2 linked regions of the Notamacropus eugenii genome follow. The protein of the gene in region 1 binds, or shares a complex with, the protein of each later gene. Links are inferred from orthologs where the notes say so. Each region holds a gene or a part of one and is shown in the gene's direction. Other genes may lie near its edges.

Region 1 (9,491 bases):
CAACCTCCCCCTCTAAGAACTAGATAAATCTCACCACAAAATAAACAAGAAAGAAGTTAAGGAGATGAATAGAATTTTTAAAAAGTTATATATCGTAGACCACTGGAGAAAACTGAATGGAGATAGAAAGGAATATACCTTATTCTCAAAGTTATATATCGTAGACCACTGGAGAAAACTGAATGGGGATAGAAAGGAATATACCTTATCCAGTGTGTACATGGCACACTTACACAAAAATTGACCATGTACTATGGCGTAAAAACTTCACAATCCAATGCAGAAAAGCATAAATATTAAATGTATCCTTTTCAGATCACGATGCAATAAAAATTATATGTAATGAAGGGACATGGATAGATAGACTAAAAGTTGGAAACTAAATAATCTAATCCTAAACAATGAGTGGGTCAAACAACAAATCATAGAAACAACAACTTCATCCAAGAGAATGACATTGAGACAACATACCAAAACTTGTTGGATGTAGTGAAAGTGGTTTTTAGGGGGAAATTTTACATCTCTAAATGTTCACATGAATAAAACAGAGAAAGAGGAGGTCAATGAATTGAGCATACAACTAAAAAAAGCTAGAAAAAGAACAAATTAAAAATCTCCAATTAAATACCAAATTAGAAATTCTGAAAACCAAAGAGGAGATTAATAAAATTGAAATTAAGAAAACTACTGAACTAATAAAACTAAGAGCTGGTTTTATGAAAAAAAAAACACCAATAAAATAGCTAAAACTTTGTTTAATTTGATTTTTAAAAAAGAATAAAACCAAATTATTAGTATCAAACATGAAAAGGGTGAATTCAACACCAATGAAAAGGCAACTAAAACAATAATTAGGAACTATTTTGCCCAACTGTATGCTCATAAATTTGACCATCTCAGTGAAATGGATAAATTTTTACAAACACTTAAATGGCCCAGATTGATGGAAGAGGAAATAAAATGCTTCAATAACCTCATTTCAGAAAAAGAAACTGAACAAACCATCAATGAAAAAGAAAAAATCTCCAGGGCCAGATGGATGTATGTACAAGTGAATTCTACCAAACGTTTGAAGAACAATTAATTCTAATACTATATAGAGTATTTGGGAAAATAGACAAAGAAGGAATACTACCAAATTCTTTTTATGATACAAATACAGTCCTGATACCTCAACTGGGAAGAGTCAAAACAGAGAAAGAAAAATGTAGACCAATTTCCCTAATGAATATAGATGCAAAAGTGTTCAATAAAATATTAGCAAAAAGATTACAGTGACTTACCATGAGAATGGTAAGTACATTATGACCAGGTAGGACTTATTACCAGGAATGCGGGGATGGAGGAGGATGGAGGATATAGCATCATTGCCCAACTGGAACTGATCATTATTACTACTCACAGACTATTGCGCCTCCTTTTTTCTCAGAGGCCCAATGACATCAGGAGGGTGAAGCCTTGACTTGCAAGTGAATTCGATATAAGTGAAACAGGGCTTGCAAAGTTACCAGCCTCGCTCTCTCCTCCCCAGTCACTGGAGTGTAGTGGCAAGACATAGGTCAGGACTTGGACCTAGAGGCGGCAGGTTCCCAGCCCCTGTAAATTTGGCCTCATATTTTAGAGAAAAAATTGAGATTTTTCACCATCCTCTTTCTCATATTATTCAGATGACTTCTGCTTCTATCTTCTTTAACTGTCTCAAATGATAAAGAAGGCTTTTTCCTTACCAAGGCTAACTCCTCTACCTGTTCAAGCAATTCCATTCTATCCTGTCTCCTCCAATATCTTGCTCCCTTTGCTATCCCCCCTCTTATTTATTTTTACCTTTCCCTTTTTACTGGCTCATTTCTTACTGCCTACAAACATGCCCCATGTTTTCCCCTTCTCAAAAAAACCAAACTCATCTGATCCTTCATCCACAGTAACTGTAATCCAGTATTTCTTCTGTCTTTTATAACTAAACTCTTCAAAAAGGCCCTCCACAATAGATGCTTCCATTTTCTCTTCTCTCACTTTCTTCTTAACCTCTTACAATATGGCTTCTGACATCATTCTACTAGCACTTCTCTCTCAAAGGTTACCAGTGATCTCTTAATTGCCTGATCCAATGGCCTTTTTTCAATCCTCCTTCTCCTTGATATCTCTGCAGTTTTTGAGACTGAGGATCACCCTCTCTTCCTTTCTCTAGATTTTTGGAACACTACATTCTTCTGATTTTCCTCCTTCCTATCTGACAGCTTCTTTTCATTCTCCTTTGCTGGATCCTCCTCCAGATCATGTCCTCTATCCATAGGTGTCCCTCAGGGTTCTTATCCTCTCTCCTTTTCTCTTCTCCTATACCACTTCACTTGGAGATCTCATCCGTTCACATGGATTAAATTACCATCTCCATGTTTGATTCTCAAGTCTACCTATTCTGTATCAACCTCTCTTCTCACTTTCTTTCATTTCCCATTGCTTTTTAGACATCTCAAAATGGATGTCCAAGTAGACACTAACTAAACATGTCCAAAACTCATTATTTCCTCTCCACCCCCTTCCCTGTAACTGTAGAGGGCAACACCATCTCTTTGACCCTCAGGCTCACATCCAAAGAGTTAGTAACTTCTATATCTCATATTCTCTATATATCCAAGCTATTGTCAAGGCTTATCAATTTCAGTTCTTCAGCATTTCTCACAGACATTCCTTTCTCTCCTTTGATACTACCATCACTATAGCATAGGCTCTTATCACGTCACACTTGGATAATTCCAATAGACTGCTGGTGGATCTGCCACCAAAGACTTATGACATATAAAAACTTCAAGAGACATAGTTTTGGATAATTATTTTATTAATCATGCCAGCAATAATTGCTCAGGGGCTTTCTTGAATATCATAGACCTCTCATGCAATCCACTCAATGTTTATGCCCTTGGAAGAGTGGGTGTACCTGAGGGTGACTATCAAATCTGATTGGTTAACAATCAATGTGAAGAATGAATATTATAATGAGAGATGGATCTATTCTAATGAGGGGCTGGGACTTGTGACTCTGATCACTCCTTTTTGGACATAGAACCATAGATTAAATTCTTTGTAAGGTTCTTTCGTTGAGTAGGTCAACACTTCCAAGATATCATCTCATCATCAGCCCTTTTCTTCAGAGAACTAAGCTTTGATCTAATCTCCAAATGAAGATGAGAAAAAATCACTGGTCTCCCTAATACTTGGTTATTTAATAATCATTTCTCTCAGACTTGAGGTCTTTCCCTAATCCAATTCATCCATATAGCCATTAAAGTGTTTTCCTAAAGCACTGTTTTGACCATGTCTGTCCCTTCCTCAAGAAACACCAGTGGCTACTGATAGCAGTCAGGATCAAATAAAAAAATGCTTTGCATAACCTACCCATTCCTACCTTTCCAAACTTCTTATGCCATACTCCTTGCCATGTATTCTTTGATCCAGTGATACTGGCCTCCTGGCTCTTCCAAAAATAAGGCACATCTCTTGGCTAAGGGCATTTTCTCCGGCTGTCCTCCATGCCTAGAATGTTTTCCCTCTTCAAAACTGCCTACTGACTTTCCTGGTTTCTTTTAAATCTCAACTAAAATCCCATCTTTTACAGGAAGCCTTTCCTAATTCTCTTAACTCCTAATGCCTTTCCTTTGTTAATTATTTCCCATTTTTCTTTATATATTTGTTTGTATGTTGCGTTCCCTATTAGACTGCAAATTCCCTGAGGGCAAGGATTGTCATTTTCCTCTTTTTGTTCCCTTTTTTAAGTCCTCCAGGACTCAGCCTAGTGTCCGGTATACATTAAGTGCTTAATAAATGATTATTGATTGATTGTAGCTGGCTCCAAATGAGGGACTCAGGAACTCTTTACCTCTCAAAATAATCAGGCTCCCTCCAAAGAAGGAAACATCTATCTCAGGATTGCTGCTTGAATAGCTTTATGCAGGGAATGAGAAACAATTGACAACAGGTAGCCAGGATCTGAGGCTTCAACTCGGGCTAACAATCAGGTAATCAGCCTAAGTCCTGCTATGTGCTGCCATAGGTTCTTGAGGTTGTAGGGGTGTGGAGAAAGTACATCTAGCAGAAGGGGAAAAGAACCTCTCTCCTTTCTCTTCACCAGAATTTCCAGGCACACGTTATAAGAGTACAGGATTATATATTTAGAGTCATATGCCTTCCTGTTCCAGATGAGGAAAATGAGGCTAAAAGAGCTGAAGTGATTAGCACAGCTATGAAGTGGCAGAACTGGGATTAGAACCTATGTCCTGTTTCCAAATTCTGCATATTTTTTTTTCAATTTTCCCATGGTAACAACTGTATAGGACAGACCTAGAGCTGAAATTCCCTCTCCCTGAAACTGACTAGGTTCTTCCTGACTCAATGGTCTTTTTTTTTTTTTTTTGAAAGAAGGACCCTCTGCAGCCCCAAGAAATCAACAAAGTTAATTGGCGTCCTAAAGCTATGAGGTGTCTCAGTTCTGTGCCGAATGGGGGTCTCAGGCAGGAGGCAGAAGAGTCCAAGTCTGCAGCATGATGCTCCAGTGGGGTATGTTTTATCCCGAGAAGTTCAGGGGGCCCTCTCCTTAAAGGAGTAACACAAATATGTATTACATATAAATATATGTGTATATAAACATATGTGTATACACAACACATAAGTCATAATGCATACACACATATGTATATATATATGTATATGTCCTCAACCTCTCAAACAATTTGAAGTAGTCTTTATTAGCAAATTAAAGGTAATGAAATACTGATCAGTTTCCTCGTGCTGAAAACGGATCTCCCAGCTCTTAACCCCAAGAACCTGTAATTCTGATTTGTTACCACAACAGGCAAACTTGTAAAAGCACCCAGAGCAGTTTCTCCCCACCCACCCTTTCTTTCTCCCCGGACTACAATTCCCGTCAGCCTTTGTGACTCTCTTCTGTAGTCCCTGTCCACACCCCTTTTTGGCGCACAGCTTGATGGGAGGGAGTAAGTAAAGGGGCGGACCAAGTCCAATGGGTGCTGGCTCTAGAGGAGGAGGAAGAAGAGGGGGAGGAGGAAAGCGACTAGAAGGTGGAGGTGAACTCCGGGCCCGGCCTCATTCATTGCTTCTGCCCGGCGGGTCAGGGGCCTTGCGTTCCAAGAACCATGGAGGCGCTGATCCCAGTTATCAACAAGCTCCAGGACGTTTTTAACACCGTGGGCGCCGACATCATCCAGCTACCCCAGATCGTCGTAGTTGGAACCCAGGTAATGCTGGGGCCTGGGCTGGCTGGGCCGCTGCACTACAGCAGGCTAGGCCGCCTCTAGGCCTCAGGGCAGGGCCAGGCGGGGCAGGGTGGGGTTGGGTGGAGCTGGGGGGCCCGGCCTTTTGCACCCTGCAGCTACTCTTTCATCCGGTTGTTTGGGCCTCCCTGGGGACTGGGAGGGATCCTGGTAGGCGGAGTCGCCTCGGCTCGGCGCGGCGCCGGTCCGGGGAGCTATGGTGGTGTGGAATGAGCAGGGAAGGTGCCCTGGGGAGGGCCCTCGGTTTCCAAGGGCAACTGAGGGACAAGCGGGGTGCGTGGAAGGGGAAGCCGCCCAGGAGCTCAGGATCGGTGCCCGAGTTTGCTCGGCAGTCTCGGTGCTTGGTTTTCCTTTTCTCACCTCTCGGGCTCACCCTGGGCCGCAAAGCGAATTATGGATCAGAGCAGCAGAATGTGAGAGGGCTTCAGGGTTCATCCGAGCCTTGTGAAGTTTCACCTTCCGGGATTCTTGAAAAGCTTGGCCATTACGCGCACGCGCACGGGGCACCATCCCCCATCCCCACTCCCACGCTGGCGCGCACGCTGTCCCCTACACTGGCCTCACACCATAACACTCCCCCCCATTACCCCCCGCTGTGGTGCTGGCGAGGGTCACCTGGGTTCGCCTCTGCAGGGCGTGGTTTTTACCTTCTCTGATAAAACACTTTACTGCCATAAATGTTCTTCCCACTGTGAGACTGGGCAATCCACGCTGGCCTGCTCACAGAATTGTGGAAGCGAATGCTTTAAAGTATAGGAAGTCATATTCCCTAATGTGCCTTAGTGAATTAGGGAGAGTGGAAAGATGGAAAGGTCTCTGTCTTGTTTTTCCCTAGTACTTTGCTGGAATAAGGGGTGAAGTAGAATCGTATGTTGGTTTTTGTTGTGAACTGAAGACCTGAGAAGCTATCTACATGTTTTCGTTTCCTAATAACAGTTCATGAGAGTATATTTATAGTGCGTTTATTTATGATCTGTATAATATATATGGAAAGAAATAGGTAATTTGTTTTTGAGGGGGAGAGAAGATAAGGAAAGGCTTTATATGGAAGGGGACACGTGAACTTGGAAAACAAAAAGGGCAAACTCATGGAGATTGGAAATGGAGTATTCTGTAGGAGAGACAGTGGTGATAAGACTGAAATAGGTATTCTGGGGCCAGGTTGTGCAGGGCTTTAAGTGCCAAACACAGAAGTTTGTATGTGATCCTGGAAATGATTGGGAGGAGACACTGGAATTTGATATGGGAGGTAGGTTAGATTTGGGCTTGAGGAAAATTATTTTGACAGCCTTGTAGAAGAGGAAACTTAAAGAGTGTGAGCAGTTGGGAGGGGTGGTGTGGGCCCTGACCAGGAGTGGTGACAGTGAGATTAGAGAGGAGGAGACAATGTGAGAATTTTTGGAGATAGTTGGATTTGATACAGAGAAAATACAAAGACAATATTGCTTCAAAATGGTAACTACAGTAACCATTAACCAATTTCCCCCCTCTAATCTGCGAAGGGACTTTTAAACAGCATGTAGACCAAATTGTAGAGTTTGACTGAAAAGGGATCTTAGAGGTTAGTTGTGCAAGTTCCTTCATTTTACTCATAAGGAAACAAGCTCAGAGAGATAAATGACTTGCTAAAGATCATATAATGGTAGAACCATGAATAAGAATCCTTGCCTCCTGGTTTTTAAACACTGTTCTTTCAACCCTATATTATAGAATTAGTGGTCATAATATTCAGTCAATGTGACAGCATGGTGAAGTGCACAGTGAGCCGACTTTGGGATCAAGAAAATCTGATTTCCAAGTCCCTCTTTTGACATATGCTGACTTAACTATATGACCCTGGGCATGTCCTTAACTTTTCTGTGCTACTCTCTAAGTATTCTAACATTTGCAAAGTTATATTGGTGGGAGGGAGTGTCCTCCTTCCCTTTGTAAGGAACTCATGTTCCCTACAAAAATAAAACCCCAGGTTTGGTTAAATACAAAAAAAGTTGAATTTTGCATATATATATAGAGAGAGAGTGAGATACATAATAATTGAGACAGCTAGATGGTGCAGAGGATAGCATGCTGGGCTTGGAATCAGGAAGACTTATCTTTGTAAATTTAAATCTGACCTCAGATCACTTAGTAGATGTGCTGATCCTAGACAAGTTATTCAAACCTGTTTGACTCAGTTTTCTTATTTGTAAAATGAGCTGGAGAAGGAAATGATAAACCACTCACGTATCTTTGTCAAGAAAATACCAAACGGTCATGAAGTCAGAAGTCATTGAACAACAAGAACATGTAATAATTAATGCTTGTATTAATAATTCTGTGAAACTATAAGTTCTTAAAGTACCTTTTGAGATATTAAAGGAATAAGTCATCTTCAGGTTTCAGTAAATTTTATTGTTTACCATTGTTTTCTGAATTTGCGATTTTAAGGACCCTTCCATTTTATAGTCTATATTTAAGAATTTTAATAGTTACATAGTATCATGGGGAACTATTTTGGAACTGTTTCCTGGCTGTAAAAGGCCACTGCGAACCAGAAACTTTCCATCAATTTTAAAGCTCTGTGTATATAGGAGAAATATGAACTTAGCAAGAAGACAAAGAATCAGGCATATAATGTGTCAACATAAATAGTTTAAGAACAAGAAGGATTTATCTTACACTTAATGGAGTTTATTTCTCTCAGTATACTGATGAATATATTCATGAACTAGCCATTAAATTGGGAGGAGCTATGAGAAAAGAGAAAAAAAAACCTTTGTGAAAACCAGTGACTTCTTGAAAAAATCTATAATTGATGCCTCCATTTCTTAGATCATGCATTTAGATCTCTAAGGGTCATGTATTCCAACCATTTCATTTTAGATATGAAACTGAGGGTCAGAGAAGGTTAGTGACTTGCCCAAGGTTACACAGCCATTATTTGTCAGAGGTGAGCCTTAAACCCAGGTCTACTGGACTCTGGAGCCAGCTCTCTCTCCAAATGCTACAGTCTCATAACAGTGATTTATTAGATAATTGATATTAAATACCAATACACTTGATTAAAATTGCCTTGTAGTTATTTACATTAGTACATGAAATATCACATTTATTTTTACATATTTTATGTAGCTGAATTTTTTGGGATTTACTACTCACTTGTAGCTTACATAGTCCCATCCAGAATCATATTTAAATGTTTCCCCATTAATTACTAAATTGCGTCATTTAAGCTCTGATCCCTCACCCCAGCTTAATTGAATATTTTAATAAGCTAGAGAAACCCCCTTCTATAAGTGGTGGCTCATATCTTTATATATGAGAACTCCTGATCTGCTCAGTTAATTACTGGCTACATATAATTTGTTAATGTTGCCAGTCATAACACAGACAGGTAAATATTTACAATGTTTTAGCTGTGAGAGTATCACAGCTAGAATCACTTCAAACCATTTAACTGCAGATGTCTTTGCTTCTAAAAACACAGGCCTTTCTTTAAGGATATCAATTAAAGTCCTTTCTCAAGAATTCTCTCTGCAAGATAGAGAGTTCCATAAATAAAAAGGTCTCTTCATTCTCTTTTCTTTGCCTTCTTACAGTTTCTTTTAGCTTTGAAACTTCTCGTGATGTACTCTCTCAGTTTGTTCATAGCATGACCATTAAACTGTAGGTGTACTTCACTCCATTTCTTGTCAGTCATCACAGTCAACTAATACCAGAGTACAACATACACTTGCCATTATGTCAAGATGCTGTGTCTTTTATAACAGTAACAGTAGTTAGAGCTTTTGTAGAAGAGGCTACAAGAGCTAGAATTACACTGATATTTTTATTCACCTTCATTTCTCTCCCTGCCTTTTAGGATTCCTTTTAATAAAGACTTTAAAAAGGAAGGGGGAAAAGGCATTTAAGGTAAACCCGGGAAAGGAGGTAACATTTTGTTACATTTGTAACATTTTCTGTTGTAAGTTGATCACTCCCACTCCAGCCATATTGTGAAGGATAATATGATTTCATTCTCTTAAAATTTTTTTAATGGCATGACTATTTATATTCATTTTATCAGTTTTAAACTAATTTTGGTATATGGTATAAGTCTGACAAATCCTTTTATTAAGGGAATTTGTTCTGTGAAGTTTGGATTCAGTTAAAGGACTGCACTTGAGGACCTAGAGGGCCACATGTTGCATCAAGGCTGCAGGTTCCTGGCTCCTGGTATAAGAGGTT
Region 2 (8,883 bases), about 120 Mb from region 1:
CATGGCATTCAAAACTTCTTCATTTGCTATAACTGATGGAACATGTCTGGATAGTGTGGTGGTGGCTGATGGAGCACCTGTGTTTTCTTGGTGTTGTTAGCACAAGCAGCAGATCCATACTTTGTTGTGTCTCCCCTTCAGAGGTTGCAGTGAGTACACAATCACCTGCAAATAGAAAATCATGCACCAACACTTGCTCTACTTTTGTCTTGGCTTATAGCCTTTTCAAGTTGAAGAATTTACCATCAGCGCAGTAAATTAAGCTGATCTTGAAAGCATTTGACAACATGGCTGAAAACATCATGCTAAAAAACATAGGAGCGAGCATATAGCCTTGTTTCACTCCACTGGTGACTGGGAAGGCATGAGAGCATTGTTCACTATCCAGAACCTGGGCAAACAAGCCATCATGAAATTGACATAAAATATTGATGAACTTCTCTGGGCAACCAAATTTTGACATAATTTTCCATAAGCCCTCACGACTAATAGTGTCAAAGATCTTGGTCAGATCTACAAATGTTGTGTACAGACCTCTGTTCTGCTCCTGGCATTTCTCTTGGAGCTGTTGGGCAGCAAACACCATATCAACTGTTCCTCGGCCCTTTCCGAAGCCACATTGGCTCTCAGGGAAATGACCATCTTCCAGGTGAAGGTTCAGCCTGTCAAGGAGGACTCTGGCAAGAATCTTCCCAGCAATGACTAAGAGACTACCAGACTTGGCAGGGAGTCCTAGGGAGGAATGGAGTTGGAAACAGTAGCAGCAATGGTCATTTGCTACTGAAGACTTGTGCATCACATGACCTTCTATTTATGTGAACACAATAAAACTTTGTGGACGCACCCTGGCAACAAACCCTGGCATCTAATAGACTATGTGATTGTAAGAAGAGACAGACAGGATGTGACAGTGAGAATTGATCACAGACTTATCCTCTCCTAGCTAAATATTCACATTCAACAAAAGGGGTATCCCCAAGGCAAAATGACTATCGAATTCATGTCAGCAAATTAGAGCTCATCTCTGAGTGAAAACAGTTTGTGACTAATTTGGAGGGAAAGTTGTGTTAACACACAGTTGGCAACAGTGGGGCAGAAAGGGAGTGGGCAGCTTTCAGAGATTTGGTGTATAGTACTGTATTTGCTCATCTGGGTCAGAACACTCGCAAACACCAAGACTGGTTTGATGAAAATGATAGGGAAATTCAGAAACTGCTAAACAAAAAACGAGAACTTCACAAGGTTTACCAGCAGGACAGTTCATTCATCTCTAAGAAGGCAGCATTTAATTCCATCAAAACTGAAGTACACGCAAAGCTTAGAAAGATGCAGGATTCTTGGCTCGGCAGGAAGGCAAATGAAATTCAGTTTTATGCTGACAGTAACAATCCAAAACACTTTTGTGATGCCCTGAAGGTTATTTATGGGACAAAGATCTACGATTCATTTCAACTACTCAGTGCTGATGGAAGCACATTGATTAGTGATAAGGACATGATCTTAGGGAGATCATGGGCTGAACACTTCCATAAGGTTCTCAACAGACCATCATCAATCAATGCTGAAGCCAGTGACCATTTACCTCAGGTTGAAATCAATCCCTCCCTAACCGAAGAAGTAGTAGGCTCCTTTCCTGGGACAAAACACATGGTGCTGATTCTCTTCCAACTGAGATTTACAAGGTAGGGGATTCATTGCTCATACAAAAGTTGACTGAAATTTTCCAGAAATATGGCAAGAGGAGTTTATCCTCCAGGAGTTCAAGGATGCCTCCACTGTCTATCTCTATAAAGGTAAAGAGAATAGATTGTCCTATAACAATTACAAGGAAGGGTGTCTTCTCAGATTCCTTAAGAGTCTAAGCCAATGCTCAGATTCCTTAAAAGTCTGGCCAATGTGGTAGATTTTTAGAATTATGTTCACCCAGTTGGTGTTCTAATAAAACTTGTCATTGGCTGAAAGAAGGTTTGGGATAGAGTTTATTTGGGCAGGACTCACTTGTCGCTATTTTGGGATCCTAGCACCCCTGAAACTCAACTAGTATTGTAACTTTTATTACATTGGTATGATCCAGCTGTGAATACTGAATATCCTTTCCACTATTTAAGTTGTTCTTTATCTCTTTAAGAAGTGTTTGTTTTATAACTGTATTGATTCAAGTATTGGGTGTTCTTTGGTAGAATGACTCCCAAATATTTAAATTTCGTAATTATTTTGAACGAAATTTCTCTTTCTATTTTTGCTTTCTGGATTTTTCCTCCTATACAGAAATGCTCTTGATTTTTTGAGTTTATTTGGAAGCCTGCAACTTTATTGAAATCATACATTGTTTTTCAATAGTTTGTACTGTTTGCCTCTTCAGCCCATATGGCTTTAACTATCATCCTTCTGCAGATGAGTTCAAGGTCAATATATCCAGTCCCAGTTTCTACCCTAAATTCCAGCCATGAATAACTAATTGCCCAATGGACATTTCAAATCAGTTGTCCCAAAAATATCTTGAACTCAACATCCCCAAAGTTAAAATCATCTTTTCCACTCTTCCAAATTTCCCTTCTTTCTGTCAAAGGTACCATTATCCTTCCAGTCTCATGGGTTTGTAATTTCAGCATCATCCTCAACTTTTCACTCTCCTTTACTCTATATATCCAATCAGTTGTAAAATCATGCCATTTTTACCATCACATCTCTTACATCTGACCCAATTTCTCACTCATACAACTACCAACGTTTGTTCAGATTCTAATCACCTCTCACCTAGATTATTACAGCAGCCTCAATCCTCTCCCCACTCCTGTCCATCTTCCAAACCCATAGCCCAAGTAATTTCCTTATTCTATTTGACTCTCCTACTCAACCAGCTCCAGTGGTTTCCTATTGCCAATAGGATAAAAATATAAACTTCTCTAGACTCACCAGACATTTATCCCCCTGCTACACCATGAGATCCAGCCCAACTGGAATTTTAATTGTTCCTCACACACAATGTCTTATCTTCCTGCCTTTGCACTGGTTGTCTGACCCACATGTCTAGAATGTATTTTCTCTCTTCTTAACTCTGCCAATTAGAGACCCTTACTTCCTTTAAGAGGCAGTTCAAGCACCTTCTGCATAAAGCCTTTCTTGACTCCCTCAATCATTACTGCTCAAGTTCCCAAAGTACCTTGGATTTAACTACTTTGTATATATTTGTACTTATTCATGTTATATATGTTATCTATTTCTACATGCATTTGTTCTCTCCCTCTTTGGAATGTATGCTACAACTTTGTAAATGGAAAAAATAACAAAAGATTCAAAATTAAATGCTAACCTTGTCCCCAAATAAAAGATATGAGAAAGCAACTTTTTTGTAGAAGTTGTCAGGACTATGGGTGTGGAACACTGCATATAATGTCAGACTTCTTTCCTTGTCCTGATTGGTTTAACTGTTATTTTTTTCTCTTTTTAATTCTGCACTATAAGTAATGGCTCTCTGAGAGATGAAGGACATACACTAAAAAGTACAGATTATGAAAAACAAAAAAAACCAATAACAATATATACATATTTTTGAAAGTTGGCTCTTTGGGACTCAGATACACTCTGGCCTTTGCATGGGGTCAGGATTTGATCTCAGTATAACAGACTCTCACCATAGAAGTAAGGATCCTCAGAGGTTGGTCCCAACCCTTTACCTGAACAGTAATTTTCCCCCACATTCCTAATGGAGGGACAAGCTTGTCTCAGAAATTTGCTTTTCACATTGATAATAGTGGTCCAAGTTATTGCTGTCCACTTCTTTTACCTGTAAAGTGCCTGGCATGGTTGGCCTTACAATACCCACCTAAAAAGAAGAGACAGAGTTGATAAACCATCACATTAGGGGAGGGAAATATCAGTCTGGAGCATAGGGTAAGAGTAAAACTTTTTTTATTTTGTGGACCTGACAGGTAGGGGCTCTGGAACCTCTCCCCCCGCCCCCAACTCTCCCTGAACTTTCCATACGGTCAAGTCTCCGTCGGTCACCTGAGGCATCCCAGTCATCCCCTCATCTGGCCTTTCACTATGGCCTACACCCAATCTCCCAGTTCTCTGTTGCCCAGCTCCCCACTGTCTGTTACCTCTGGTTCACCCCCAGCCACCTCCCACCCTTGAGTCTATCTAGACCCCATTCTCTTGGTCTAGGTCCCTGCTTTCAGGCTCCAGTCACTCCAGCCTACCGGCTCCTGCCATCAAAATCCTCCCTAGACCCCGCTCCTTCGGTCACCCCAGCCTACTGGCCACTTCTAGAGCCTGATCCTTCCCACGGTCTTCCTGTACATAAGCTCCAGCACGCCTCCAAGAAATTACCAGTACTTGGATCCCTTAAGAGTCTAGCCTGGATGGCGAATCTTCAGAATCACACCCTTCTACCTGCGCTCTAACAAACCTTATCTTTGGCTGAAAGCTTGGGGCCAATTCATTCAGGCAGGCCCTGCCCGTCTCATCTCGGGGTCCCAGCACCCCTAAACCTCAACAGACCCAACTTGGGACGGAATTCCCAGTAACCGTCCCCATCCGGGGCAAGGAGAGGCTCCGCTTCCTTTCTGGGACCCTCTCCTCCTCTGCGTCACCTCCCCAGGTCCCCGGCGTCCCCCACCTTCCCAGGGAGCCCTCCCAGTTCTCCTCAATGCCGGCGCCTGCCTTCTGGGCCTCCCCAATTTGTCCCAGTGGTTTCAGGTTTTCTTCTCGTTAGACTACACGTGCCTTGAGGACAGGGGCTGCTGTTCGGCCTTTTTCTGTGTCACTGTCCAGACCACCGAGGGATTCAGAGCCGTGTGGTCCCGGGGGAGCCGAACCTTGGGCCCGGAGCCGCGCCCAAGGCGCGTCCGAGGCGCCTCCAGCACCGGCGCTCGGGGCCGGCCTTTAGCCATGAAGTCACCAAGCCCCGACTCCTCCTACTGCCACGTGCTCCAGGCCTAGTTCTCGAGAGCCCGGAGGTGACGTCACAGACGCGTTTCATCACAACGACCACTTCCGCCGTAGGAGGAAGCGCAGGCATTCCAAGCCGGAATCCCCACGGGCTGCCGCGGTCCTTCGGGCCGCTCTTTGAATCCTGTGCCTTTAACGCCGAAGACACGCCCCCGCAGCCCCCGGGGACGCCTCGCCCCGGCCGGGAATGCCCGTTAGGGAGGGGGCGTGGCCTCTGGGTGATTGGCCGTTCGAGGTCTGTTTTGGAACGTGCGGGACGGGAAGGCATGCCTCTGATTGGGCGCATAGGTAGTCCGTCCGGCCCGAGCCGGGCGTCAGGGTTCCGCCCCCTTGGCTTCGAATTTGCGGCTGCGCGCTGGGAGGAGAAGGTTGGAGGTTAGAGAGGGGGCCGGCCCTGGGTCTAGGAGTCGGGGGAGAGGAGGAGGAGGACGAGGGACTCACCGTGGGCCGGGCCTTCTCTTCCCAGGTGATGCGGTGAAGCGGCAGTGCAGGTAGGAAGGGCCTTCCGCTGTCCGAGGGGCCCCAAAGGCCGACGTCCGGGGCCTTTCCGGGGCGCGGGGGAGCGTGTGGAGGTGCGAGGAGGGAGAGGAGCCCTTCGCCCAGCAGGGGGTCCTTGTCCCGCACCGGGGCCCAGGGGGAGGGGAGAAGGGAGCCTCCGCGGTGACTGCGCCTGCGCCGGCCCCGCCGGAGCCCGAGGCTGAGAAGGATGCTCCCACCGCCCTCCCCGCCCCTTACACCAGGGGCGCCCCCGGTGCCTGCGGGGATCCGACTTGACCGGGGCGGGGCACGCGTCCTAGGTGGGCCCCGAGGCCCTCCTGCCCTGGAAAGGATAGGAGGTAAGCCGGCATCGGAGGTAGAGGAAGAGGGATCTTGGGGAGATCGCAGATCCAGAGCTGGGACGTTCAGAGAGGTCAAGGGACCTGCCCAAGGTCACAGAGCGAGGCCGCCCCTCTTTAGCCACGACTTCCGGGGTGCTAGCCTGCAAAGCCTGGGCTGGGAAGCCTCCCTGGACGGACCAGGGCCGGGTCTGCGAATTACGGACGTGGAGGTCTGCCTGGGGGAGCGGGCAGAGGTTTGGGTGGGGGCGGAGGAGGGGTGAGAGGAGTTGGGAGTGGTCCAGGTGCGACTTGGGGCTGGGGGTCAGGAATCAATGCCCCCCATTCTGTTGTGGTTCTTAGGTGAGTCCTAGGTAATGGACTTTAGAGAGCCGGTAATCCGGAGCCTGGTTTTGCTATATAGGATCCATCCATTTTGTAGTAAGGGAAATTCAGTCCAGAGAAGGGGCGGCAAACTGCCCAAGGTCAGGCAGCTACTTGTACTCCTAGCAAAGCTGGGAGGAGTTTAGTCCTTTACACCAAAGAGGGCCCCCTTAGTTGTTTGGAGTGTTTGCTAGAGTCAGCTTTGTTTTTAACTGGGAGGGTCAGAACTCCTGTACTTCCCACGCTGACTGGTTCCTCTTGCCCAGCAGCTGAATTGTGGGCCTGCGGCTGAGCTGTTTAGACTCACTGTGGGGAACTGGATACTGACGGCCCGATTGTCCTCATGAACCCCAGGGGGACATTAAGAACCCTACTTGGGCTTAGCCTGGCTCCCTCTTCCCCAGCCTTACCTGCTGGGAATGGGAGTGGCCTGGAAGATCCTTTCTGAGGATACTGGAGCTTTCCTGATAAGTTCTCACCCTCTGAAGTACAGTCTGTGTGCCTGTGAGAGAGGGCCCCTTGGGGTGAGTGACTGTTCTCCAGAGTGGCTGATACAGCTCTAGGATTACCGGCCAACCACTGTCCACCAGTCTCTGAAAATACAGGTCATGTTTGCACAATTATCCTCTGCAGAAAACTAGAATGTCTTAGCTTCAAGGAACCATCTAGCCTAACCCCTTCTTTATACAGAGAAGGAAATTAAGGCACCTCAGAGTGGGAAATGACTTGTTTGTGGCCACACAGTTAGTAGTAGAAACTGCAATCCAGGTCTCCTGACTCTTGGTTTGTTGTTTTTTGCACTATTCTGGAGTCTCCTTTAAAGAACACTAGAGCACTTCCTAGGTTTAGACTTCTTGGTGCAGTGACTGGAATCAGAAAACCTGAGTTCCAGTCCCACCTCAGATCCTTAATACCTTTTTGTTGTGACCCTTTAAAAAGTTAGAGAGACATAATTTCTGGGTAATTTAATCATTTTATTAATAAGGCTAGCAGGTTATTAATAAAAGAATGGCCATTTGTCCATCCCTCTTCTACATTTCAGAGAGGAGGTGTTCCCCAGGGGTGCCTGCTCAACCCTGATTGGTTAATCAAATGGGAGGTAGGCTATCTTGGGGTACTTGACCTAGGTCACTCAAATCTTGGTCAAAGAGACATTAGTTAATATCACCTGTCTTGATAATAGGGAGAGTCAACATTTTCTCTGGACGTATTTGTAAGCTAACATAATAAGCAGGAATGCATCCTTTAGCCCAAACTTAGAATTTCTTTTACTGTCTGATTAGATCTTGGCCTGGATAAATCTCTTAAGAGAAATTTCCCACACTGGTTGATTTCTAGATGAGGAAGTAGAAAAGGGGAAGAACTTTGGTCCTAATATTATAATTATTAAAGTATAAGAGAGAAATATTCATTTCTCACATTGTCCTTGAAGTAAATAACATAATCTCCCTTACTTTCCAATCTGTAAAATGAAGAGTTTTGGACTGGAAGCTGCTTAGGTCCCTTCCAGCTCCAAGTCTATAAACGTTTGACCTCATCCTGCTACAGTGAGAAAAATGGACTAAGGGATGGAACGTAGGAGCAGTTCTGTGAGAGGGTATTAGCATTGGACCAAAGACCCCAGTGAGTACTTCTAAGTACTGTATTTGTCCATTTTAGCCCCACCTTTTCTCTGATTTTGGAATCTTGTGAGAAGCCTCCAAGCAAAAAATCCTATTTTATTTTACCATCTGCCTGGTAAAAAAGTAGAGTTGATACTATTTCATTTGGCTCCAGCGTAGAGAAGTACAGCCCAGGGTAGGTGTGCTCTTGTCTCTCTGTGAATTTGATATTAACAAAAGCTTTGCTTTTGACTCTTTTTGATTGAATCATTAGAACTGAGTGGAACAGGACCTGATTACTTCCTTGAATCCCATCAAAAACCTTTGTGTGGGAGTCTGGGATTCTCAGGCAGAAACCATTTTCAGGGAGAGCAGAACAAGATTCTGGGCTGTTGGAGCAAGCATAGATTGAATGGATTGAAGAGATAACTGAGCTGTGACAGAGAAGAAACATTGGCTTTCTTTTGGGGCTTGTAAGGCCTGTCTATCCACAAACACTATTATCTGCTATTGTGTTACCCACATGTGCCAGTAAGCTAAATTTTGCTTCAGTCACAGACACCCCACTTAGATATAGATGTACATTCTAATAGTTTGATTTAGTCAAAAAGCATTCTTACCCAGTCTTGGCCTCTGCCAATGGGGTGCTTTCAAATCCCCTTAGGAGAGGATACCACTTCCATAGTGTTTTCCTATCTGTCCTTATCACAGTGCTAATAAAGATGGAGGTCAGGAATTATCCTAGATTTTACAGTATAGAAAGATGAGAAGTGTTTTGCCTAAGGCCATACATTAAGGTTGACATAGAGCCAAGACTTGAGCTAAGAATCCCTTCGTTTTCCTGTGTTCCTCCCTTAAGAGTTATGACTTTGGGCAGAGCAGGTGGCAGTGGTTCTAGCTTCCTGTACACCACACCACAAGAGCCACCCAGGCTCTATTTTTAGTCTCTGAAAGGCAAGGGTCATGGCAAAAATACTTGTGGGGGCTTGAGCTCTCTCTGCCTGATTCATTTCTCTGGCATTGATGAGTGGTAGTATTTGGTTACCTGGACAACTTCACTCAAGGCCCAGATGCCTTGAGAATGAGTAAATCATAGACCCTGAGAACTGAAAGGGAGCATGAGAGGTCAG

The links.
Region 2: the proteins of DNM1L (region 1) and MIEF2 are in contact, whole or in part, in a cryo-EM structure (PDB 5WP9), measured with the Homo sapiens proteins. The link is inferred for Notamacropus eugenii from reciprocal best matches to the Homo sapiens genes DNM1L and MIEF2. Residues at the interface, in NP_036192.2 of Homo sapiens: Asp190, Met191, Ala192, Thr193, Ser194, Leu197, Lys198, Ile199, Arg201, Glu202, Gly223, Thr224, Asp225, Asp228, Arg233, Val234; in NP_631901.2 of Homo sapiens: Val213, Asp214, Thr215, Val216, Arg218, Arg226, Leu230, Arg235, Val245, Gly246, Tyr248.

What each region holds. Positions count from the first base shown.
Region 1 is NC_092874.1:214,537,725-214,547,215, reverse strand, and holds the start of DNM1L (dynamin-1-like protein), read left to right. Parts: upstream 1-5,466; 5' UTR 5,467-5,481; coding exon 5,482-5,604; intron 5,605-9,491. UniProt on the Homo sapiens protein: Functions in mitochondrial and peroxisomal division.
Region 2 is NC_092874.1:335,796,641-335,805,523, forward strand, and holds the start of MIEF2 (mitochondrial dynamics protein MID49), read left to right. Parts: upstream 1-4,987; 5' UTR 4,988-5,219; coding exon 5,220-5,328; intron 5,329-5,419; coding exon 5,420-5,444; intron 5,445-5,636; exon of another isoform or gene 5,637-5,789; intron 5,790-8,883. UniProt on the Homo sapiens protein: Mitochondrial outer membrane protein involved in the regulation of mitochondrial organization.